Linked DNA regions of Danio rerio. The protein of the gene in region 1 purifies or fractionates together with the protein of each later gene. This does not show direct contact. Links are inferred from orthologs where the notes say so. Each region holds a gene or a part of one and is shown on either strand. Other genes may lie near its edges.

What was found.
Region 2: the proteins of chd1l (region 1) and xrcc1 purify together in Homo sapiens (affinity purification with mass spectrometry; 3 studies listed by BioGRID and IntAct, counting the BioPlex papers as one, with this or other methods). This does not show direct contact. The link is inferred for Danio rerio from reciprocal best matches to the Homo sapiens genes CHD1L and XRCC1.

What each region holds. Positions count from the first base shown.
Region 1 is NC_133181.1:39,397,820-39,410,072, forward strand, and holds the start of chd1l (chromodomain-helicase-DNA-binding protein 1-like), read left to right. Parts: upstream 1-4,024; 5' UTR 4,025-4,131; coding exon 4,132-4,225; intron 4,226-7,473; coding exon 7,474-7,586; intron 7,587-7,694; coding exon 7,695-7,801; intron 7,802-10,140; coding exon 10,141-10,255; intron 10,256-10,352; coding exon 10,353-10,384; intron 10,385-11,877; coding exon 11,878-11,959; intron 11,960-12,125; coding exon 12,126-12,253. Other genes in the region: sft2d2a (SFT2 domain containing 2a), read left to right, coding at 1,199-1,284, 1,368-1,449, 2,418-2,453, 2,570-2,628, 3,170-3,199, 3,436-3,487. UniProt on the Homo sapiens protein: ATP-dependent chromatin remodeler that mediates chromatin-remodeling following DNA damage.
Region 2 is NC_133191.1:58,621,499-58,633,136, forward strand, and holds the end of xrcc1 (DNA repair protein XRCC1), read left to right. Parts: intron 1-3,716; coding exon 3,717-3,759; intron 3,760-4,440; coding exon 4,441-4,580; intron 4,581-4,659; coding exon 4,660-4,750; exon of another isoform or gene 4,751-6,348; intron 6,349-6,544; exon of another isoform or gene 6,545-6,947; intron 6,948-8,240; coding exon 8,241-8,316; intron 8,317-10,556; coding exon 10,557-10,664; 3' UTR 10,665-11,494; downstream 11,495-11,638. UniProt on the Homo sapiens protein: Scaffold protein involved in DNA single-strand break repair by mediating the assembly of DNA break repair protein complexes. Negatively regulates ADP-ribosyltransferase activity of PARP1 during base-excision repair in order to prevent excessive PARP1 activity.

The DNA.
Region 1 (12,253 bases):
AGCTTCCTGACTATTGAGAAGGGCTAGGCGATGAGTTGGTGGAAAATGTTTAGAAGCTGTGTCACCGGTTTGGCCTGTTGTATAGAATGGCATTTCAAGTATCTTGAGTGAGAATAGGAAAATAACTTGTTTCTCTTTTAAGATGTTGTTTAACTTTCTGTATACCTTTCTGTTCACTCAAAAATTAAAACTGCCTATTAATTTTCTCACACAAAAGCCATCCTTGTTGAAAATATTGTCCTTGGTGATTCATAAAACGCAATTGAAAGGCAACCTGCACTTTTAGAGTCATAAAACAATATATAGGCTAAACAAAATTATTACCTGTTGCTCATGAAGACAAATTGATGTCTTATTAGGGGAAGCAATCAATAAGAAATTTAACATTATTTATGATGTTATTAATCTGCAGCCTCCCTTTTGGGAACATATTGTAGACACAAACTCATGTGAGCTGATGCTGTTTGTTTACATGTATGTATAGCTTCCTGGAAAAGCACTAGTATTAATGTTGCACACCAGAGGTGCCCAAACCTTTTCTTATGAAAGGCCGACATCCAAAGTTGATTGAGGGTGGTGGGCCGAAGCTAAATATACTAAACTGCAATACATTAAAGTAGCCATGATAACTTCCTAAATTAATAATATTTAAACATATTTCGGAAAAATTATTTAATCATATCAGTAATCTATATATATATATATATATATATATATATATATATATATATATATATATATATATATATATATATATATATATATATATATACAAATTCACATTTAATTTAAACATTATTTTCAGTTTTGCCTTTTTTTTGTAGCTCAGCAATTAAACAAAATGTTATGTAAAATTGAAAAGGATGAATTCGGTTTGAGGGATTTACCCCAACCTTCCCCATTTTTGGTCCATTTCTTCTCACGGGCCCTAGTTTGGGCAACTTTCTTGGAAACACTGTTTTGATTCTTGCATGTGCAAAAAACACTTTATAACACCTCACTGCATCATCACAAGCTACGGGTATTAATTTTATTTACTCTGCATATTATTTTGACTGTGATAGTGCCAGTAGAAAATGTTGAATCTGCAAGGACTGTGGTTTCACTTCAAAATATTCTGATGAAAAAATAAATGCTTCTTCTAGAAATATCCTTTTAACTGTCATATTAATAATATACATTTTTTTATCTACCTCAGGGAGTAGGTTGCCTGTTTATTCCCAAAATTGGGATACTTCTTTTTGTTGTGTTTTATACATTGGGAAACGTTTGCTCCTTAGCAAGGTGAGTCATCTGGTTTATAGCAACTAAAATTCTGTGACTATTTGCATTGTATTTTAATTAATTTCATTTGAACTCCTCAACAGCACCATGTTTTTAATGGGACCAGTGAAACAGCTGAAACGCATGTGTGACAAGACCAGAGCCTTTGCTACTGTTGTGATGATAGTGAGTTAATCTTTTCCACACCACACTCTGCTTGACTTTACATGTAAAGCCATCAATGAGGATGTGACTTGTTGTAAAAATAATGCAGACATGTTAGTTGTCTTGCAGTTTCTGGCTTTTCAAGTTTTAAAGCAAATGACGCTTGAAAGAAGTTTATTAATTACTAGGGCCAGACAGAATCTGTGGACATTTTTGCTATTTCTGCAGAGAATTTTGTAAAAAAAATTGCAGTTTTATGCGGAATCAGTTTGGGAGTATCATAACTGCAAATTTAATAAATGAAATAAAATATAATAGGTTTTTAACCTTTATTTAATGTTTACAATGCAAATCCAATTAGATTCACTTATTTGGCAAACAAAGCAAGTCTCTCATATAATACATCTAATAAAAGATAGAAAATATTACTTTACAAACTGTATTGTAAATAAATCATATGCACATTTTCATATTAGCCAATAATAATACTGAAATTAATTTAAAAACAGAATAAATATTATTTTAAACATACATACATGTTTAAATAAATAGACTGCAGATTTCTGTGCACACAGATTCCATATAGGCTGACTTATTACTTAAATTATGGATTACTATTTCTAACAACCAAGCAATACTGCATGAAATGTTTACCAGTCAAAAAAGTAAAAACAGGCCTTTTTAAACTTTTTTCATTTCTGGTGTTTTAAGAACAAAACAAACTTTAGTTTTCGGCTGAAATCACCTATTATGATTTTCACTATTCAATAAGAATCTAATAAAATTATCCTAATTTTGAAAGTAAAAACATATTGCCTTTAAATAACTTTAAAAAAAACTCTAAGAATTAATGCATTATATTTCAAAAACATGTTGGATGCGCCAAAAAGTGTTAGAATTATTATTTGAATTCATGTGCTCTCTTTGGAAACATTTGACCAGATGTTTAATGAGTACTAAAAGTTTCACTATTTTTTCTCTGTCCATAGACATGTCTGGTTCTCACACTCTGTGCAGTATTTTGGGTGAGCTTTCTGCATTTCTCCCTGCTGTATAGTTTTAGATTTTATCTCTGTATATAATAAATCTAATAGAATTAGCTTTCTTTAATACTAATTCAACACTAATCTCTGTACAACAGTGGAAGATCTTTGCTCTCACTCTGCTGTTTGTCATTCTTCAAGTCCTTGCATTTGCATGGTAAGTTTACAATGACACATTATTTTAAGCATGGACACCACACTGTATAACTTACAATTTCATTTACCTTTAAAAAACAAATAAAAAAAAAGTATAGAATGTTATCTGATAAAATTTTAGGATAATGTCCTGACCCCAGTGCTATACATGCTGCATATACAGATTATTGAAAGTTCAAAGCAATATGTTTGCTGGGTTTGTACTATTTGTCTTAAGTAAAATCAATGTCCATTGTTTCTTTTCTTTGATATGTTCAAAATAATGAACACATTCTCTCATTGACTGTGTGAATAATTATGACTACTTTAATTTAAATTCATCAATTTGTTTTAAAAGCTTATTAATTAACTAAAAAGTAACTCGCATGACATTTTTGAAAAACTTACTCAAATATTACTTATTTGTTTAATGCAATACTTTACTTGTTACTTAGAAAAGTAAAATTATTACGTAACTCTTGTTACTTGTAATGCGTTACCACCAACACTGCTTTTTCCTGTACTGAAATACATTTGATCAATTTATTAATTTTTCTTTATAGGTATGGCCTCTCATACATCCCTTTTGCAAGGTTAGTCATTATTTGTGATTTTAACATATTATTTTGTCTTAAAATATTGAATTAGATAAAACATATTAAGCATTTGATGGATGTGTGAATATTTGTTAGGTGGTTCATTCTGCTGTGGCGACCCCTAAAATAGAGACTAAACTGAAGAAAGTAAATGAATGCTAGAAAATAAATATGACACAATTGAAACCAAGTACAGTATTTTTAATTCTCTATGCTGTCTTTGTCTTAACCAGGGATGCTGTACTGAAGTTTTTCTCCATGTTGTGCAACATGTGTATGAAATGAAGAGCTGATGTTTATCCTTTCATCACTCTGGGAACTGGGAACACTCTGCTCAAGTATTCTGCAATTCTGGGGTCCACAAATAATCACTGAGACTATGGGATGGTGCTAGTTGTAATCGCTAACGTTAGCTGGACGACATGCTAAATCTGACTGTACAAAAGATTACATTTTACTGAATGTGTTTTAAATGTGTTGTAAAACAGATTTGTAAATGTTATGAAATGTCTTAAAATTGATATTTATTAAAGTAGATATTGCAGTTATATACTAAAAAGCTGACCTTCTATTTTTTTCTGTATCTTTGTCTGATACTATTTGTAAATGAAGTCTAGCTCAATTTTTTTTTCTGTGTCAGAATGTTGAATATAATTCAAAGGATAATCCGAGATTTGAGAATTTAAGATCTTTACACACGTATTCTTTATAAAATATACATATTTTAAATATATATGTACTTTTTTAAGAATGGCGCCTTTAAAGAGCGCGTGCTTGCGTTGCCAACTTGTCATTGGACAGCGTCAGTTTTGCTACCCGCCCATTCACTATTGCAGGAAGTAGAAAAACAAGTCACGTCAAACTGGCGCGCACAAGCTATTAAAGAGAAAAGAAATTCAGATGATTTAACATAAACGTAAACAACAAGGATGTCCACATTTCTTCGAGCAGTCAGAAACAACATACCAGAAAAGGACAAATCTGAACTAACGGAGAATGACCTGAAGAAATGGGGACTTGGAGGTGTGTGGAGCAATTGCGAGCTAACTTACTTGTTTAAGTTAATGTTTAACGCTTAACCCTACGTTAATCGTATTTAGCCCGTTTTGGATCAGGTAAATCATTAGTTTACAAAAAGTTTTGGATATAACGTTACATCAATAACGTACCGATAACTTCTCGTTAATGAATTTGCTTAAAAAAGTTTTACATTCCCAAAGTTTTACCTCATTGCCCATTTGTATTTATAAAAATACGAAGAATCATTTGCGATTTAGATGCATAGATTTACGTTTGTGAACTTCATATAGAAAACTTATGCCATTTTATTTTGATAAATTACATTTATAAGTACATTTAATATGATAATTACCTGGATCAACCCTTTTAATAGAAATTAATACCGTACATTTATTTCTCATGATTAGCTCAAGAACAATCCAGGTGGATAAAAACTAATACAATAAAACTAATATTTATTTCTAACAAGCAAAATAAATATTAACGTTACTCTAATAAAGTTTTTAAACATTATAATTTGATTTGCTCGTACACTGAAAAACTCCTATGTGATCTATGGGAAAATGCAAATAATTTTTCAAAGTAACTTTACAATAACAGAACTGATTTTGTCTGAATATGCGTATGATTTTATCCATGATATTATTTACATACATAAATGTATAGGTAAGACATAACTTGATTTAATGTAATTTATTAATGTTGCTCAAATTCATGTACAGTTTATACACGTTGATATCTTTAGATTTCACCCCACTCCTTTGTTTTGTAATGGTTTACTCCACCTTTATTGGACTGTTTTAAGTTATATTAAAAAAAATTTGAGACAGACAGAGCAACACACAGGGTTCATAAGGTCATGGAAAACCTGGAAAAGTCATGTAATTTTGACATGGCATTTTCCAGGCCTTAATAAAAATTTTGGAAAAATTAGAAAAACACACAAAGTTTTGGAAAAGTCATGGAAATTAGTTTAACAAATATCTCTATACCTAAATTAGGGCTGCACGATATTGGGATGAAATGTGTTGTATTTCTGTGATTATATATTGCGATGTGAATGCAATTTCACCAGATGATTTAACAGGTTTATTTGGATTGATTGGGGGATTTTGTAAAGGAGTGAATCTTGAATAATATATAACAAATAACTTACAAGCATAGATAAATTAAATATAGCAAAGACAAAAGTGAATAATGATATAGTCTCCATTGTATATTATTTAATCTTTCTTAAAGTTACAAAAAGTTTCTTGTGGCTGGTTGTTTTAAAATTTGAAATATTGAAATGTTCTCACAGTCAAAGGCCTGAAAGGGACAGTTTTGTCAAAGATGAAAATGTAATCACTATTTACTGACCCTTCACTATAGTTATTAAATTATATATTTTTTGTGTTCATTTAAAAAAAAAATGAAAATCATTAATGTTTGAAACAAGTGAAGGGTGTAACGAAATTGGTAAGTAATTTTTGGATGAACTATCTCTTTAAAAATTCATGCAGATGACAAATGTTTGTTCCATTATGATTAAACTATAATCCCAACATTGCATGTCCTGCAATGTGACTATTGCAGATGCACATATTACAATATCGATTCTGAACCACATTATACAGCCCTATCTTGTATACAGGTTAGTTGTCTTCTTTTCTGTTCTTGGCCAAAAACTTGCTCTCACCATCATCAAAATTTTACATGGATATAAAAAGTAATTTAAATAAAATAGATTGTTGCCTGTTATATGATATGCTGTAATAAATTTAAACACCATTCTTTTTCTTGTTATTTACCATGTATATGTAGACATTACATGAAACATTACGTCATGAATAGTCATGGAATTTTAGTAGTAAGAATGTGTATGAACCCTGAACAGTTTTTTGGCCGGAGTTTATTGTTACCTTGCATCTTTAATTGGATGGAAAGCCGAGTTGATTTATTGCCTGACTGATTTTCTGAAATTCTGATAGTTCAGTGTAATATAAATAAATAATCATGGATTGATTCATTAATATATGGCATATCTAGGCATGGGCCGGTATGAGATTCTGATGGTATGATAACCTTTAATAAAAATATCACGGTTTCACAGTATCACGATATTGTGATTACTGCGCTAAAATATTTTCTTTTTAAATGTCTGCATAAAAAAACAAAAACTTTTTTCCCCTTTGAAAACAAAGATTCATAATATCTTGTTACAGTAAACATGTCAGGCTAAATAATTCAAATGAATCAATGACTTCTGCTGTCTTCATTTGTTTCAAAAACAAATTTCTTTACCATTTAAAATGGCATTTTTGGATAATTTTTTTTTCTGCTGGAGATACTGTTGTCCTAAAAAACTAAAAAGAAATGTAAATAAAAGATTTTACACAAATTTTAGGAACGATATTACAGAAAACTTTTTCGGTTTTAAAACCTAGACTTTTTCAAACTGGGGTATACCTTGAAAACGGTTATCGTCCCATGCCTAGGCATATCTCAATCTTAACCTGATGTCAAATTTACTTAAACACAAAGATGCACTTTGCATTAAATTTGTATATCAAAAAAGGATGATTTTTATTAAAAATAAAATATTTTATTAGAATTTTTTACAAGTGATTACAATGGTCAATGTCATCAATGGGGTAATGCACACAGACTTTTATCTTCAGTCAGTCAGCCCCAGGGCTTCTGGTGAATTGTCATCCCATACAAAATCACAGCAAAAAAGATCTGATTTCTTGAAATAACAGTGATAATCTCTGCCTGGCTGAGATAAGATATAAATTGGGTATCAGACCAAACAAGAAGCACTGCATTAAATTATATTATTCCATGCCATGTCTATTAAAAATGGAAATTAATTTTACCTCAGTATTTTCAATGGAGTTTTTGCGCTTACCTGCTTCTATTGGCGGCACTTGCGTTTAAATAGTCTCTTTTTATGTTTTAATAACCAAATAGATGCTTAAGTCTTTTTAACTGTTTATATTTGATGGTGTTATTACATAACACCATCAAAGCTGTAAAAGGAACTTTATGAAAGGGAAAATAGTCGCATGAAGCTTTCACCGGAAGTTCCTTATTGGCTGAAAAACACTAGCTGTGCATATATTTTCGGGCATGATTGACTTTTCACGTGTCACATTAATTGGAGCAGTGAAATAAGGCTTCGAACACCTGTTACATGATTTAAAATACTCTAAATCTGAAAGTTTTTTTCTTACAAACAACGCTGTTATCCTTTATCTCTTTCCTAATAGCTATTCATCTGAGGCCTTATCAGCTGGATGGAGTGAAGTGGCTGTCACTGTGTATGAAGAACCAGCAGGGCTGCATCCTCGGTGATGAGATGGGTCTGGGCAAGACCTGTCAGGTTAGTAATGGGATGGCTTTATCTTGCTTATATTGCTTGCTTTTAAGCCGAAAGATTTATTCCGAGATGTCAGATATGAGATAAGTGAGATGTCATGCTCTGCTGTAGACCATCTCTTTGCTGGCGTATGCTCGAGGAAGCCTTAAGATGAACGGGCCGTTCCTTGTGCTTTGTCCCTTGGCTGTTTTGGAGAACTGGAGGCAAGAGTTGGAACGGTAAGAGACATTGGTTGTGATCAGAATTGTGTGGTCAATTTAGATTATGAAGAATGCACGATAAAGTTCTTGGTTCATTACTGTGCTGCTATGAATGCTTACATTTTTAGTAATCGATAACAGTTTACTTCTATGACATTTCTTATTCATTTTAATGACTTTCAGATTCATAAAATGTTTTTTTGTGTTCAGCAGAAAAAAAGTAATTCATAAATGTTTGGCCCCAATTGAGGATATGTAAATGATTCGATTTTAGTTTAACTAACCCTTAAAATAGCTTAAAATGGATATTTATTAAATCAGAGACTGTTAAAAGTTGCAATTTCTGTTTTTCGAAATTTGTTTCAATATTGTGTAATGGTAACATTGTAAATAAAAGACTAGCTTCGGTTTGCTGGGAACCATTTTTTAAAAAGAAATGTGCGTGTGTGTGTTAAGAATGCAATATTTTTAGTCCCAAACTGTTTTATATTAAAAAAAAAAAACTAAATAAGGCTAAATATTTATCAGATTTTTTCACAGACATGAATTCACAAATATTTTTTATATAATTTACACAATATTCCATACATACTCAGATACTTCAAAATAAAAACACTATTTGACGAAAAGGACAAATATTTTGAAACAATTTTTTTGAAAAACATGAATCACAATTTTTTTGACGCATGTATTCCATACATACCAATATATTCCAAAATAACCAGATCATAAAGCATAAATGTTTGTTCCCACATGTGGACCATTGTATAAGGGAATTTTCAGTTTTGAATTGTCCCTTTAAATATCTTAAAATGAGAATTTATTTACTCAGATATTGTGAGCTATTGAAAGTTGCACTCTCTATTTGTTTACCTTTGTCTTAATATTGTAATTTAAAGACTAACTTGGATTTACTGGTAATCTTAAAAAAAAATGTGTGTGTGTGTGCTAAGAATGGAACATTTTCAGTCTCAAAGTGTGTTATATTTGAAGAAATTAGTAAATATTTTTAACAAATTTTTTTTGACACATGAATTCACTAATTATTTTACGAAAATATTTTGACACTTATATTCCATATTTACCCAGATTCTTCAAAATAACCAGAATTAAATTAACCCATAAATGTTTGATCCCACTTTTGGGCTAGGAAAGCTTGAGTAAATTGTTAGTTTTAGTTGAAATATCCCTTTAAACATCTTTAAATGTGTATTTATTAAGTCAGATATTGTGATCTATTGAAAGTTGCACTTTCCATTTTGTTTTCCTTTGTCTTAACATTGCGTAACGATAACATCTTCTAAATTAAGAATAAAGACTAGCTTGGGTTTACAGGTATTGTTTAAAAATGCTAAATAGGGACATGAATAAAATGAGTAAGTTTTAATTTTTATGTGAAATATCTCTTGAAATATGTTAAAATGGATATTTATTCAATCAGATAGTTGTGATCTTAAAAGTTTTACTTAATTTTTTTTTACTTTTGTCCTAATATAGTGCAATGATAACATCTTGTAAATATAGCTTGGTATTAGTTTGGGTTTACAGGTAATCTTTGCAAAAAATATGTGTGTTTCAGTCCCACAGTTTGTTTTATTTGACGAAAAGGCTAAATGCATTTAACACATTTTATTGACAAACATGAATTCAAAAATTATTTTACAAAACTTTTTTTGACGCATGTATTCCATACATATCCAAATGCTCCGATATAACCAGATCATAAAACATAATTATTTAATCCCACTTGAGGATCATTATATGATGAGTGAATTTTCAGTTTTGAAATATCCCTTTAAATATCTTAAAATGGATCTTAATTAAATCAGATATTGTGAGCTATTGAAAGTTGGACTTTCTATTTTTCTACTTTTGTCTTAATATTGTGTACTGACGATAATATCTATCAAATTAAAGTCTACCTTTGATTTAAAGGCAATCTTGTGTGTTAAGAATGGCGCCTTTTCAGTCCCAAAGTGTGTAATATTTGAAGAAAAGTTTAAATATATTGTCCACATTTAAGACAGACATGAATTCTCAACTTTTTTGATGCATGTATTCCATAAATGTCTAGATTCTTCAAAACAACCAGAACATGCAACATTTAGCAATAAACAAAGTGGTGAAAAGGATAAATTTTATTTAGTTCAGTTGACAGCAGATTTACACTCTCAGCTAAACTTACTGAGCAGCATTTATGGCCATAATCAGATGATTTTACAAGCAAGAAGTCCATGTGTTGTCACTGTCACTAGATGGAGACAATCGCAAATAAATTCTGAATATTCTAAGTCCTCCTTGAATGGGAAATCCAGTTCAGATGAAAGATTGCTTCTGGTTTTCTTGCTTTCCTTCAGTTTCTGCCCTAGTCTGTCTGTGATCTGTTACACTGGGGATAAAGAGAGAAGGGCAGAGCTCCAGCAAAACCTAAAGAGTGACCCACGGTTTCATGTTCTTCTCACCACCTATGAGGTACGAACACCTTTTATCAGAATAACCTTCTGAGGGTTGCTATCCAAACCTGTGAGCTGTTCTTTTTTTAATGGAAACTCTTTCTCATATTTAATAGATGTGCCTTAAGGATGCCCGCTACCTAAAAAGGTGATTTTTCTTTCCTGTTTTTGGCATGAAATTATATGAATAGATATAATAACCCTTAATACTGCTACTCAGGAATTTTGAATGTAATTAACCGTGTTTACACAATAGTGTTTTTTCCGCCTAAGTTCTGCTGGTTGACGCATGTGCTGAATTTTCCTTGCCAATCTTAAGCCAATTGTAATGGTTTGTTTTGGTTCAATGTGGAATTTCCACAACCCTTGAAGAGCTCGGGGGATCAGAGTGATCCTACTTGGCCCCACCCTGATCCAGAATAGTGTTTTTATATATATATTTTTTATCACTTATTATTTAATGATGGTGTTGGAGATGTATATTTGTAAATTTTGTTTATTTAATGTTAAATTCCCTCTCAAAACATGCTTTGTGGTCATTTAACACTTTTTAAAGTTAAAGGTTCCGTGAAATTAAAATAAAGTTTTTTTTTAGATGTAACAAGCAGTATGTTAGTTAAGGATGTCTAATGGATCAACAAATCACGTAACCTCATACTTCAGTTTCTCCTCAAATCTTGGTCAATCTTATGCTCTTTAGTATCTGACATGCCCCGCCCCCTTCAACACTCATTTGCTTTTCATTTGATGTGCTTGAGCTCAACCGTTTTCACTGACAGAGCTGTGAGAAAAACAATAAAACAAAGCCACTCTGTCCCACTCTCTCTTCATGTTTTAGTTGAGATTACGTCCAATTTCGGATAAAAATTACACAATTCACAGCACTTTACAGGACTTCTTCGTAACCTAATTTTAAATGTAAATATTGATTAATTCCACAATTTGAATTTTAAGCCCTATGAAATTTTTCCAAATTCTATTTTATTATAATTTTTTTTTGTTCCAAATGTTGTTTTTCTCTGTCTTTTTTATTGTTTTTGATTAGAGTTGCTTGTCGTTGGTTTTTTAAAAATAACTGATTTATAATAAATTAGCCATTTGTAGCTGTAAAGGTTTTGTGTCATATTTTTAATTATTTAGACAAAAATATTGTCTAATTTTTTTTTTTTATGTCCAACAAATATCAGTTATCAACATGAAACAACATAATAACAATAATGTACAAATCATTCATTCATTTTCTTTTCGGCTTAGTCCGTTTATTAATCAGGGGTCGACACAGCGGAATGAACTGCCAACTTATCTATCATATGTTTTATGCAGCAAATGCCCTTCCAGCTGCAACCCAGTACTGGGAAACCATCCATACACACTCATTCACACTCATACACCATGAACAGTTTAGCTTATTTAATTCACCTATAGTGAACCGAAGCACCTGGAGGTAACCCACATGAACATGGGGGAGAACATGCAAACTCCACATAGAAATGCCAACTGACCCAGCTGGATATCGAACGAGGCAACTGTGTTGTGAGGCAACGGTGCTAACCATTGAGCCACCGTGTTGCCCAATAATGTATCATAACATGAAAATTGTAATCGGTTTTATTGTTGTAAGTGACTTTTTTCTTCCCACAGCTGGAAATGGAAGATTTTAGTTGTGGATGAGGCTCACCGCCTCAAGAACCAGGAGTCGTTGCTTCACCAAACCCTCAAAGAGGTTACACAATTCCACTTTAACACAATAGGCATGCTAATGCTTTAAAATTTGCCATTGTTGTATATAAATTCACTGTCAGTCTATAAAACTCCTGATAATAATTCCCCTTCCTGTCATTTTCTCAGCTTTCTCTTTCTATTAACTGACATCCTTTTTTCCCCCACAGTTTACAGTGGGATTTCGAGTGCTACTGACAGGCACCCCCATTCAGAATAACTTACAAGAAGTCTATTCCCTCCTCACCTTCATCCAGCCCAGTGTGTTTCTCCCTGAAGCTGTTGAGGACTTTGTCAA
Region 2 (11,638 bases), on another chromosome or scaffold:
TTTTCCTATTAAACGAGTGGCCTATGACCTTCTACATTAAGCAGATTCAGTGTAAGGTTATATATGTAAGCCGAAAAAGCCATTTAAAGACGTCACTGTGTTTCTCCGTCAATACCAATAATGTCTGTTTGGGAAGATTTATTGATGTTGCTATCTGCGTCACCTCTTAAGAGGCCAAAGCACCCAAAGCTTGTCAAATATATGCATCCTGAAAATCGTTAACGTGTCAACCTGTTTGCCGTGGGGTCCCTTCACTCCAGCTGCACGTCGCAGGATTTTAAGAGTGCGGGTTAATGAAGTGCGTGTAAAGCAGTGCTCCAATCAATCAGGAAAATAAAAACTGGAGGGCCAGAAGAGAGCCGTGGGGCTGGAGAGGCTGGAAGTGCGGCACAGACACTCGCCCGCAGCATTCGCAGAGAGGAGACTTGGGCATGTTTCTCATTTCTATGTAAATTGAGGGAGCACAAGAGCAGACGTGAGCAAACCTCGCTGGCCTGAATGTTTTCGTGCAACTTAAAGACATTCAGAGAGAAAAATGGTGAATCACTGTCTATGAGCATCACTGTGACTGAGGCTTTGGGTACAATGAGGATATTTGTAGAGATTTTATACTGGAGATTCAGCTGAAGACAAATTTATGTGAAACATCTGTTCTTTTACAAGTATTCCTTAACTGATGCTTAATGAAAAGATTTTTTCATACTGAAATTTTTAAACTGAATAGATTTAATACCTTATTTCTCATTAAAAAAATCTCTTTGCCATGATGACACTGCATAATATTTAACCAGTTATTTTGGAAAATAAATCAGCTTTAGGCTGATTTCTACTTATGCGTTGAGCAAACACGTGTGCTCCGGCACAGCCTCAGTGCGCTCGCATAGCCCTCGCCCTAACGCTGATGCGCACCTCTCAAAAAAATTTAACTTAAATTTAAAATTTAAATAGCGCCAAGCTCTGTGATTGGTCTGCTTGGTAGCGCTGATGAGTATGGGTGGTGTTGAGAGCTGCAAGCCTGATGGGAGTGAGTGTTTGCATGTGTCCTATGAAGGAGCTCCTGGTGGAGACTTCTGCTTTGTGTTTATCTCATGATTAAAGCTATTGCTGGTTCCTGCCTCTAAATGAGCGAGTTTGAGCTACTTGTACATTAAGGTAGCATTCAGAAAAAACAAAACACCCATAAAAAAACTACAGAGAAACAAAAACCTGCTGCCAGCTAGCGTTTCGAAAGCGTTATTGCAGAGCAACACGAAACAGTGCACAGAAGTATACATGCACGACTACGCTCAAGGCAAGCACCGTGGGCCCCAGCGATATGTATAAACCAGCCTTTAAAATGACGTTTAAAAACTTAACTAGGTTGATTAGTTAACTAAGCAAGTTACTGGACAAAAATTGTTTATTCTGTAGCCAATAAGATGTAAGATGTTCTCAAGAAAAACAGTTTTATATAAAATTGCATGCGTGTGTGTGTCTATCTATATAGTTATTTATTTATATTTATTGTTACAGGTTTGTTTATTTATTTTTTCCTGGTGCTGGGATGTCTACTAGATGGCGCTATTGTCTTGAGGTCGCTTGTTCCCTATGTGCATAGGTTGGAGTGCTTTACGGATGTGTTGCATTGCCAGTAATGAGTGCATGATAAAACAATTCTTCATTTGTTCTCTTGAGAAAAGCTTTCGTTTTTGGCTTAACTTACGCTGCCTAATCATTCCCCTGCAGCACCAGAGTTTTTGTTTGTTTAAATAATTTCTTTTGCATTTGATCTTGTTTAACTTACTTTAATATTTCTTGCTTTTTTAATTATTCGATTGGTGGCATGAACTCTTAATTATGTTGCAAACTGTCTAGAGCTGAACACGCACATATATATATATATATATATATATATATATATATATATATATATATACATATATATATATATATATATATATATATATATATATATATATATATATATATATATATATATATATACATACACACACACACACACATATATATATATATATATATATATATATATATTTACACACATATATATATATATATATATACATATACATACATATATATATATATATATATATATATATATATATATATATATATATATATATATATATATATAAACAAATGTTAATATCAAAAAATTAAAACCTGCAAATTTAACAATTACAACTTAGCAAGCTTAATAAAAAAGTCATTAAGCTACAACTTAAATTATCTAGATCTAAACAAAATGAGGATCATCTGCTGAAGTATGATTGTTGACAATCTTTTCCTGTACTTTTTGTACATTTTATTGCTAAAGTCATTAGTAACTTAACGAATGTCACTTTAAATTGTAACTGTTAGTGTTACTGAGGAAAATAATCAAGTGAGGTAGGACTGGACATTATATCTCAATTGTTATCGCAACAAAAGTATATGCAAGTATTGCAAACGTGTGATAAATTAAATGTAGTTTATATATTAGTTATCTAAATTTGACCGGTCAGATGGGGCCTTACTTACTTTAGCACCGCCTACCCTGTTCACTATTGGCTGTAGCGGCTCAAAGCTGAACCCAGAGCTAAAAATAAACACTAATTAATGGAGAAGAGATGAGAGGAAAATGGCAACAGCCAATCAGAGTTTCACTCATAGGGCAAAGTCTAAAGCGCAGGGCGCATTCAGGGCATGTCAGAATCCACTTTTGCTATTTTAAGAATGGAAAAATCCGCTTTGCGCCGTGGCGCATGGTCTAACAGAGTTGAGCTTATTCTCTTATATATATATATTAGTTATAGGTGTGTTTTGAGAATAAACCAATCAGAGTCTCGTCTCCCATTCCCTTTAAGAGTCAGCTGCGTGGTGCTATAACGATTTGCTATTTACATGGCGGACTTTGTAAGTGGAAAAACAGCACTTCACTGGCGAGAAAACAGTTAAACAGAGCATCTGCAGCACGAGGATAAAGAATGAGCCTCCTCCATTAGGCCTCTTTTACGCACAGACATCCATTAGCCTACATAAATAATTTGGTTAAGCGCAAAGATTTGCTTCAAAGCTATTTCTAAATTCAGTTCTAATTTCCAGCAAACGAATAAAAGAACAATAATAACCAAGTGTGCTCAAAAACCTGAGTTATATCCTAATACACATGCTGCGCCCCATATGGTCTAAAACCTGACAGGTGGACAAATCTAAGCTTGTTTTTAATAAAACAAATATAAATATAAATATAATAAATAATACTGCTAATAATAATAACATTATACAAAAGCAAATTGTCATGAATAAACTAAAAAAAAAGCCTTTATAAAAAAGCACCTTATTGCCCCAGGTGTATGTTAGGGCCCATAGTGTTTTAAAGACTAAGAAAACCCAGTTTTTTAGTCTGAATTAGAATTAAAAAGATCTTAAAAATATAATTTACCTGTTTATTTTATTATCATTAAATAATAAATGATTTTAAAGCAGCTAATAAAAACAGCATTTTTCAAGGGAAATGGTATATCGTAAGCAATAATGTTATTGTGATACTCAGCAATAATAATAGCAATATTGCATATTTTCCCAGTATTGTGCAGCCCTAAAAGAAGCATTTTAATTTCCAATACTATCCAAAGCATCTCGTTCTTGATGATTAAATGATAAGGTATGTTTGTGCTAATGCTTGTCCTACTCTTTATTGTGTTTATTGTTTATCCTGCATCTCTTCTCAGGTGATGATGGCTCTGGCATGGACACCGAAGATGAGCTCAACAGGTACGACATGCATTGCATTCCAAACTCACTGTCGCTATGTGCAAATAAATGCTTGTAATTGTTCTTTAACATCCCCGGTTTGTGTAACCCAGCTGTCTTTAAAATCTCATTATTGTTGAGTTGATGTCGTCTTAATGCATCTGTGTGAGCTGAAAGGAGGGTATTTGATCAGGCGTGAGTGATGGTTGCTTTCTTTCTGCTAAAATAAACTGTGTTTTATAGTTGGTTATTCTTAAACATTTTCAACAATACACTGTAGGCTAAATGACTACCCTTTCATTATGCTGGGGGCTGTTTTTGCCCCATTGACTTCCATTGTAATGACATTTATCAAGATTAATAGAAAATCTAAATAAGCAGCTCAGCTCTCATAACATAGTATGTTTCTGCACACACGCTATAATCTGCTGTTTTACTCTGTAGAGCTTTTTGCACAGGCCGATCTAAAGGTTTAATGCTGATAACTGATTTGATCTCACTCTTATGAGATTATGAAATGCTTTAACTGTGACTTTTGATCAATTCAATGCATCAATTCAATGTAAATCCTTGCATGCCAGTAATTACCTAAAATGTGTATCGAGTTAATGCATTGGCTGGGTTAGGAATGGCAAAGAGTTCCTTGATTTTTCTATAGCATCAGATGTGTAATGCTCCAGTGTTTATGTTCGTCTATTTTAGGGTGGAGATGGCGAGCAGGAAGAAAAAGGCAGCAGAGCAAAGCGCAGATAAGGGAAAAAATGAAGATCCGTACGGCGGCTCGACTGATGAAAACACAGACGCTGAGGAAGAGGAGGATAAACCCATCCCTGAACTGCCAGGTCTGACACCTCCTGCTGCACTTTCATCTAAAAAGTCTTGAGGATCTTTGAGAAATCATCTTTGTTTTCGCTCCTTCAGATTTCCTAAAGGGGAAGCGCTTCTATCTTTACGGCAAGTTCCCTGACAACCAAAAAAGACTACTTCTGCGCTACATCATCGCCTTCAATGGGTATGAACGTGTGTTTATAAGTGTGTCTGTGTGATCCATTTAAAGCGGAGTGATGATTAAGAAGCTGTAGGCGATTTAAAAATATGGACGTAGTGTCCATGATGTCAACAGTAGGATTTCTAAAGAGTGCACATAGATATATACACTAGATATCGAATAGGGACCCTGAGCATGCGTCAGTAGCGCCGCCACATTGGTACAGTGCTCCCAGGACAAATGTCATTCAACTGCACTAGACAAGACAGTGTTATTACGTGAAGATGCGGGACTTTAGCGCTGTCTACGGGTGTAGTAACGAGCAATCAAAGAAAAGAAAGCACAAAGGCAGAACATTTCATAGGTAATATTAAGTTTTTTACGTTTTTGTATGTTATGACTTTTGTATTCAACATTGATGATAACAGTCACTTACTGCATTCACCATAAGGCAAAGTAGCTCCAACTCGCACTAAACACTCGGCTTATGCTGGTTTTGTTGAATAAAATCAGCAAACAATGCAAATGAAATATGACAACGAGATGCTGCGCTGCCAGAAACTTGTATTATTGTTGGCTAGTGAACGAGTCGTTCATAACGGGGATTCATTCACAAGCGAATCGCTCCCTCCGTCAGTATGAGCAGTGAAAGCAGGAGAGGAGCTGTGTTTCAGGACATGATTAGATCAAATTTAACAGGGAGGGTGAATAGTACATTTCTGTACACACAAACACAAGCTTTTTGTTAGGAATGCCCGTGCGGTCACTGATCCATCAATGTAGAAAAGTGATGTAAAATTAAAATTTTCGTAATAAAAAAAAAATTTGCATACTAACATCCAGGAAAACTCACAATCATAGATATATGTGTATATGTGTATATCTCTGGCTTTGGGTTGGCACAGTCCTCCACTGTACCTTGGTCCCGCATTCATTTCAAAGGAGCGCTACCCTGTTCCAAGATGTCGGCTCTATTGACGCATTCCGTCCAATAGACAACAACAGGGTAGGCGACATCTAATGTATATATTTATGAAGAGCGCAAATGAAGTGGGCGGAGCTTTTCTAATTGCCAATCATGCATTACTCCCTAATAATTAAAAATGCAATGAGGTGGTGAATAGGCGGAGCTAGAGATGCCCTTTTTATTGATGAAACACTTCACACTTCCTTTAAAGGTGACCTGTTTGTGTTCTGGCCACATGCGCTCGGTTGAATTTTAGATTGACTTTGTGCTTTCTTTTAATGCCATGCAGCCCTTTTAAGCATTAAAGTGGTAAATGCTAATAAATACGTCAAATAAAGTCTAAATGCTAGGCTATCATGAAACGCTATGAGATCTGAAATGCAGACTTGGCATTGTATGACAGTGTTTCATATGACTGTGTTATAGACCATTTCAATATGGCGATATCACTGGTTCATGAACAGTGCCGGCTTGTCTTAAAACCTTTTCAGAACTGTAACAAGAGGGGATTCAGTCGTACCTAATGTTAACACGGCTGTCATTATAAAAAGTATCAACATGTGGAACTTTCTGGGTTCTCAGAAGCTTTGGAAATGAAAGATGTAAAACAGGAAATGCATTAGGACCATTGTTATTGTTTACATCCCTCAAAATGGTCTATAGCTGACAGCTGATTGATTTCTCAGATTCTGGAGGGCATTACAGTTCTGAATATTAATTATAAATGGATAATACATAATTTTAAATAAATGAAATACATATACAGTTGAAGTCAGAATTATTAGCCCCCCCTGAATTAATATTCCCCCCTTGTTTATCCCCACCCCCCATTTCTGTTTAACGGAGAGCAGGTTTTGCCAGCACATTTCTAATCATAATCATTTTAATAACTCATTTTTAATAATTGATTTATTTTATTTTTGTCTTGATGACAGTAAATAATATTAGACTAGATATTCTTCAAGACACTTCTATACAGCTTAAAGTGACATTTAAAGGCTTCACTAGGGTAATTAGGGTGACTAGGCAGGTTAGGGTAATTAGGCAAGTTATTGTATAATGATGGTTTGTTCTGTAGACTATCAAAAAAATATAGCTTAAAGGGGCTAATAATATTGAGCTTAAAATGGCTTTTGAAAAATTAAAAACTGCTTTTATTCTAGCCAAAATAAAACAAATAAAACTTTCTCCAGAAGAAAAAATATTATCAGACATACTGTGAACATTTCCTGAATCTGTTCAACATCAACTGGGAAATATTTAAAAAGAAAGAAATATTCAAAGGGTGGCGAATAATTCTGCCTTCAACTGTGTATACTTATTTTATATAATTTATTCAATGTATAATAAATAGTGTATGGCTTTTTGAATCATACTATAGTAAAGTACTTAAATTAGTCTGTTGTGGTGATTCTACAGTTGCTATGCTATCACAACAACTATATAATAATTCTGACTTTAACTGTATAGTTGAAATTTATATAAAAAAATTACTCATCAGGGTTCAACGCTAATGATTTTTTATACGGGTCCGATCGGGCTATTGCTTAAGATTTTTACATGCCCTGTCAAAATTTTCACTAGCCCCACCAAAAAAACTAAAAAGTTAATAGCGATTTCTTAGCCATATATTTTAAATAGTGGCAAAATTATGCCTGTGAATCTAGAATTTAAACATTTTAAATATGTTAATAAATTTATAATGAGCAAGATTCAAGATTTTATGCAAATGAAAGAGCAGTATGAAAAATGTGCTGGTGTTTTAATGCAATTCTAAATAACTTTTTATAAAAGTGGCTTGCCAAACTGACAACTGTTATTTTTTTGTTCTTTTTTTCAGTTTCTTAATTTTGTACCCATGTAATGGTCTGCTTCTAAGCCTTTAGAAACGTTTTCTTTTAGCCTTATTGTTTAAATTTGCCACCATATTGCCATCTTTTCACTGTACTGGTTGTTACCAGGTCAAAAAACAAAACAAAAAAAAAACATTCTCATCGTTACTGGCCGATAGGGGCCAGTAACAATCCTGTCTACTGTCCCGAGTGTCTTTCACGCTGGCCCCGGGCCACCGGGCAGTCCTTATTGTTGAGCCCTGCTCATGTAATAGAATGGTGGCCAGACTTAGTTATCACAATTAACTGCAAAACATTTTTGATAGTTTTAAGAAATAATCCCGAAAAGCAATAGACTGTAAAGCTGCATAAACAAAGGCACAAATGTGATCTACATAATGGCCAAGAATTATCTGAGCAAAAGACACCTGTAACTCAAGTGGCCACGCCCTTAATTATGCACAATTTTAGGGCTTAATATAAATTAAACTTGAGTTAAAAAAAAAAAAAAAAATCATCCTTTCACAATTGTCATGAAGAAGAATATCAGCTATATACAGCTAGACCACTTTTTGTACCAAGCTGTAAACATTTGTTTCTGCTGTAAATCTGGTCATTTTAGCATGGAAAGCCTATGGAGTCAAATCCCAATTGGAGCCTCTGGTGGCCAGTGAATGAACTGCATTTTTATTCAGAGCCTTTATTTTATCCTCAGAGCTGTTGAAGACTACATGAGCGAGAAGGTCCAGTTCGTCATCACCAGTGAGGGATGGGACGACTCTTTCGAGGATGTGAGTATTTCATCTTTTTACCTGAAACACAATTTGTTTTTAGCAGTGTTTCTATTTATTTATCTGAGATTGCTGCATGTGTTTTGAAGGACAGATCTATCAATCCTCGAAATCATGATCAGCTATTGGCTGACGGCACAGCAGCGTAATGACATCATCTGATTAATATTCAATTATCCATGTGAGCAAAATTAGATCATATTCATAGTAAGCGGTTTGCTAAATATGACACGCAATAACTTTCCACATTTGTTGTGGGCTGCAGGCTTTATACTTTCATGTGTCAAGAGTATTTAACAGTTTATTTAGTTTTACAGTTAGAGTAGATTTTCTTCATTATAGTAGACTAGGCCTATTTTAATCTCTTCATTTAAATTAATTTTGCATCAAAAAAGCATTTTGATATTGGTTACGGTGTCTGCAACTTTTGCAAAACATCAAATCACCAGCATATTAGCTGTCAAAACATGTGCATGACTGCATAAATTATTATTCCATTATAAACGAACAAACAAACAACAGTTGAGTATTGTGGATGTCTATTATCATACAGAAATTGTACTGAAGCTGGATCAGTGCCTTAAAATAGTATGCATTTGTATCTAAAAAGTCCATATTAATAAATGTTCTCTTTGATCCCCTTGGGGATTTTTGTACTTTTATTTCAGAGTGCAGATTGCAAACGTTTTATTTACATAATTTTTTAACGTTGTTGTATGTAAACTTAAGTATTATTAATTATTTAATTCATTCATTCATTTTCTTGTCTTCTTAGTCCCTTAATAATCTGGGGTCGCCACAGCGGAATGACCCGCCTACTTATCCAGCAAGTTTTTTTACGCAGCAGATGCCATTCCACCCGCAACCCATCTCTGGGAAACATCCACACACAAACTCATACACTACAGACAATTTAGCCTACCCAATTCCCCTATAGCGCATGTCTTTGGACTGTGGAGGAAACCGGAGCACCCGGAGGAAACCCACGCCAACGCAGGGAGAACATGCAAACCCCACACAGATATGCCAACTAAGCCGAGGCTTGACCCAGCGACCTTCTTGCTGTGAGGCGACAGCACTACCTACTGCGCCACTGCTTCGCCTAATTATTCAATAATAAATTATATTAATTATTATAAATTACAAATGTGTATATATAAACTATTTTAACTATTTTTAAACTATTTTACGAAGTGTATATAGTTTATAGGTAAGAAAATATCAGCATTTGGTACATACTTTCAGTATTATCTTTGCATGAAATAAACCTGCTCCCGAGCAGGTTTGAGCTACCAGAACTGTTGCTATGACAACAACTCTCGGATCAGTTTTGAAGAATGAAACAATCCTGGATCACGACAAATCGTCAATAACCAAATCCAGCTAACTGAGTAATCCATGTACGAAGAACAAACCCCTGGTGCAGTTACATCTGAGCTGCATGCAATGCTTTTAATGCACTCACCTAGCCCCGCCCCTCACAGTGGCATCACTAGCTCCATTGAGTGCATTGTGTCTGTCATTGCATCTCTGAGATATGCAATCTCAGCTTGCGTCTAATGGCTGCGTTCAGATACTATTGGCCTATCATTTGTTGTGTTTAGTACAGAAATGCACTTATTTTAGTGGTGGTGGCCCATTTGCATTGTATTTATTGTGTTTTGAATGCAAATGCCACTTTATTAAAAATGTTTTGCATGTTATTGATGTTTATCAAAAACAAGTTATGTAATATCAATTGTTCTGCCCCCTTTGACCTTTGAAAATTCAGATTTGGACCTTTTAATGTAGACATTGAGAACCCCTGATTTAGTAGTTGAATGATGCAAGTTTTACTCTGGCTGATAGCGATATTTATCAGTGGAGCTGATGGCCAAAATATAATGCACACTTGTTTGTTTTGGCCCATATGTTCAAACAATTTTTATAGTGTTTAAATTGAAGATCTACTGTGACTGCATCATAACGCGTGACTTAATATGACAATGTAGGAAACTGTCTCAGCCGAGTCCATTGACACACAAGTTTGCTTTTAATTGAATGTACATTTGAACATCTTTGAGAGAGTTTTCACTGACGGAAAATGCAGATCTGTTTTTGTTCAGCCGCTGTCATTGATGTGGTTTTCTTCAGCCGCTCTGCACAGCAATCAAAACCCCTATGCATTAAACGTCTCCTCGAGTCAAGGCCCAGTTTCTACCCTTTCATCTCCTTTTACTGCCTCTTCTGTCTTTTTACAGGCCTTGATGGAAAATGGGAGTCTGAGCTTTGTGAAGCCTACCTGGATATTCGCCATCAATGACAGACAGAAGATGTTGCCTTATCAGCCATACACTGTTGTGCCTTAATAGAGTTTTTCATGTTTTCAACCATCAATCCCTGCCTTGACCTGAGCAGACACTGGCTCAACCTATAAACAAAAGACTTCTGCCGTTATTTTAGCTCTCTAATGTCTTTAGAGACCTGTCTGACTTTCTTCTGTTTGATAGTTAACAGACCTTCTGTCCCACTGAGGAACATCATACAGGTTTGGAAAGAGGTGTGAAATAATAAATGAATGAATTAACAATCTTTGGATTGAACTTTTAATACCCCATATCTGTCACAGGTCTTTGTTTTGATGCTGAAAAATGGACTTATGGCATATACCAGCCCACCAGCCCAGAGATAAAAGACTCTGATGCATATTCATGATCGGTTTTACCAGCAATTCAAAGCTGTTTATGAAGCTGTTAAATATTAATTACTAAAGACCAAACCTAAAAACCCTTTTGATTCTGACTTGCGGAGAACGTGCTTATTTATAATGTATGTTCCGATGTACTGTCAATTATTGATTAACTGATCCATATTTAGATTTTTTGGCTTATTGAGTTGGTTAAGATGGAAAGATTTCAACTTGGTGTGGTCTTTAGCATTAATATTACAATAATAATATTGCTTTTGTGTGGAGCTCAAGCATATTTAAGAAAAAGAAGCACCTGAAATTAATATTGCTGTACTTTTTTAATGTTTCTTGTTCTTAAGTGTTGATGTTTGTTGTTTTATTTTGGATTCACTTTAACGTTTGACTAAATTCTTGATGTATTTTGCTTGTTACGTTTCTTTAATGTAAGTAATACTTTGAGGTTCTAGCTTAAAAGAGCACAGAATAAAGTTGGAAAATAGTTTTGCTGAAGTGATGTTGTGGATCTTCTGGTTTCTGTTTGGAAGGTATCTTATAATTAGGCCCACACGGAATCTGCGCGCGCAGAATTCCGCAGATTTTCCGCAGAATTCCACAGATTTATGCAGATTTTAAGCCCATTATTAATTCTATTTA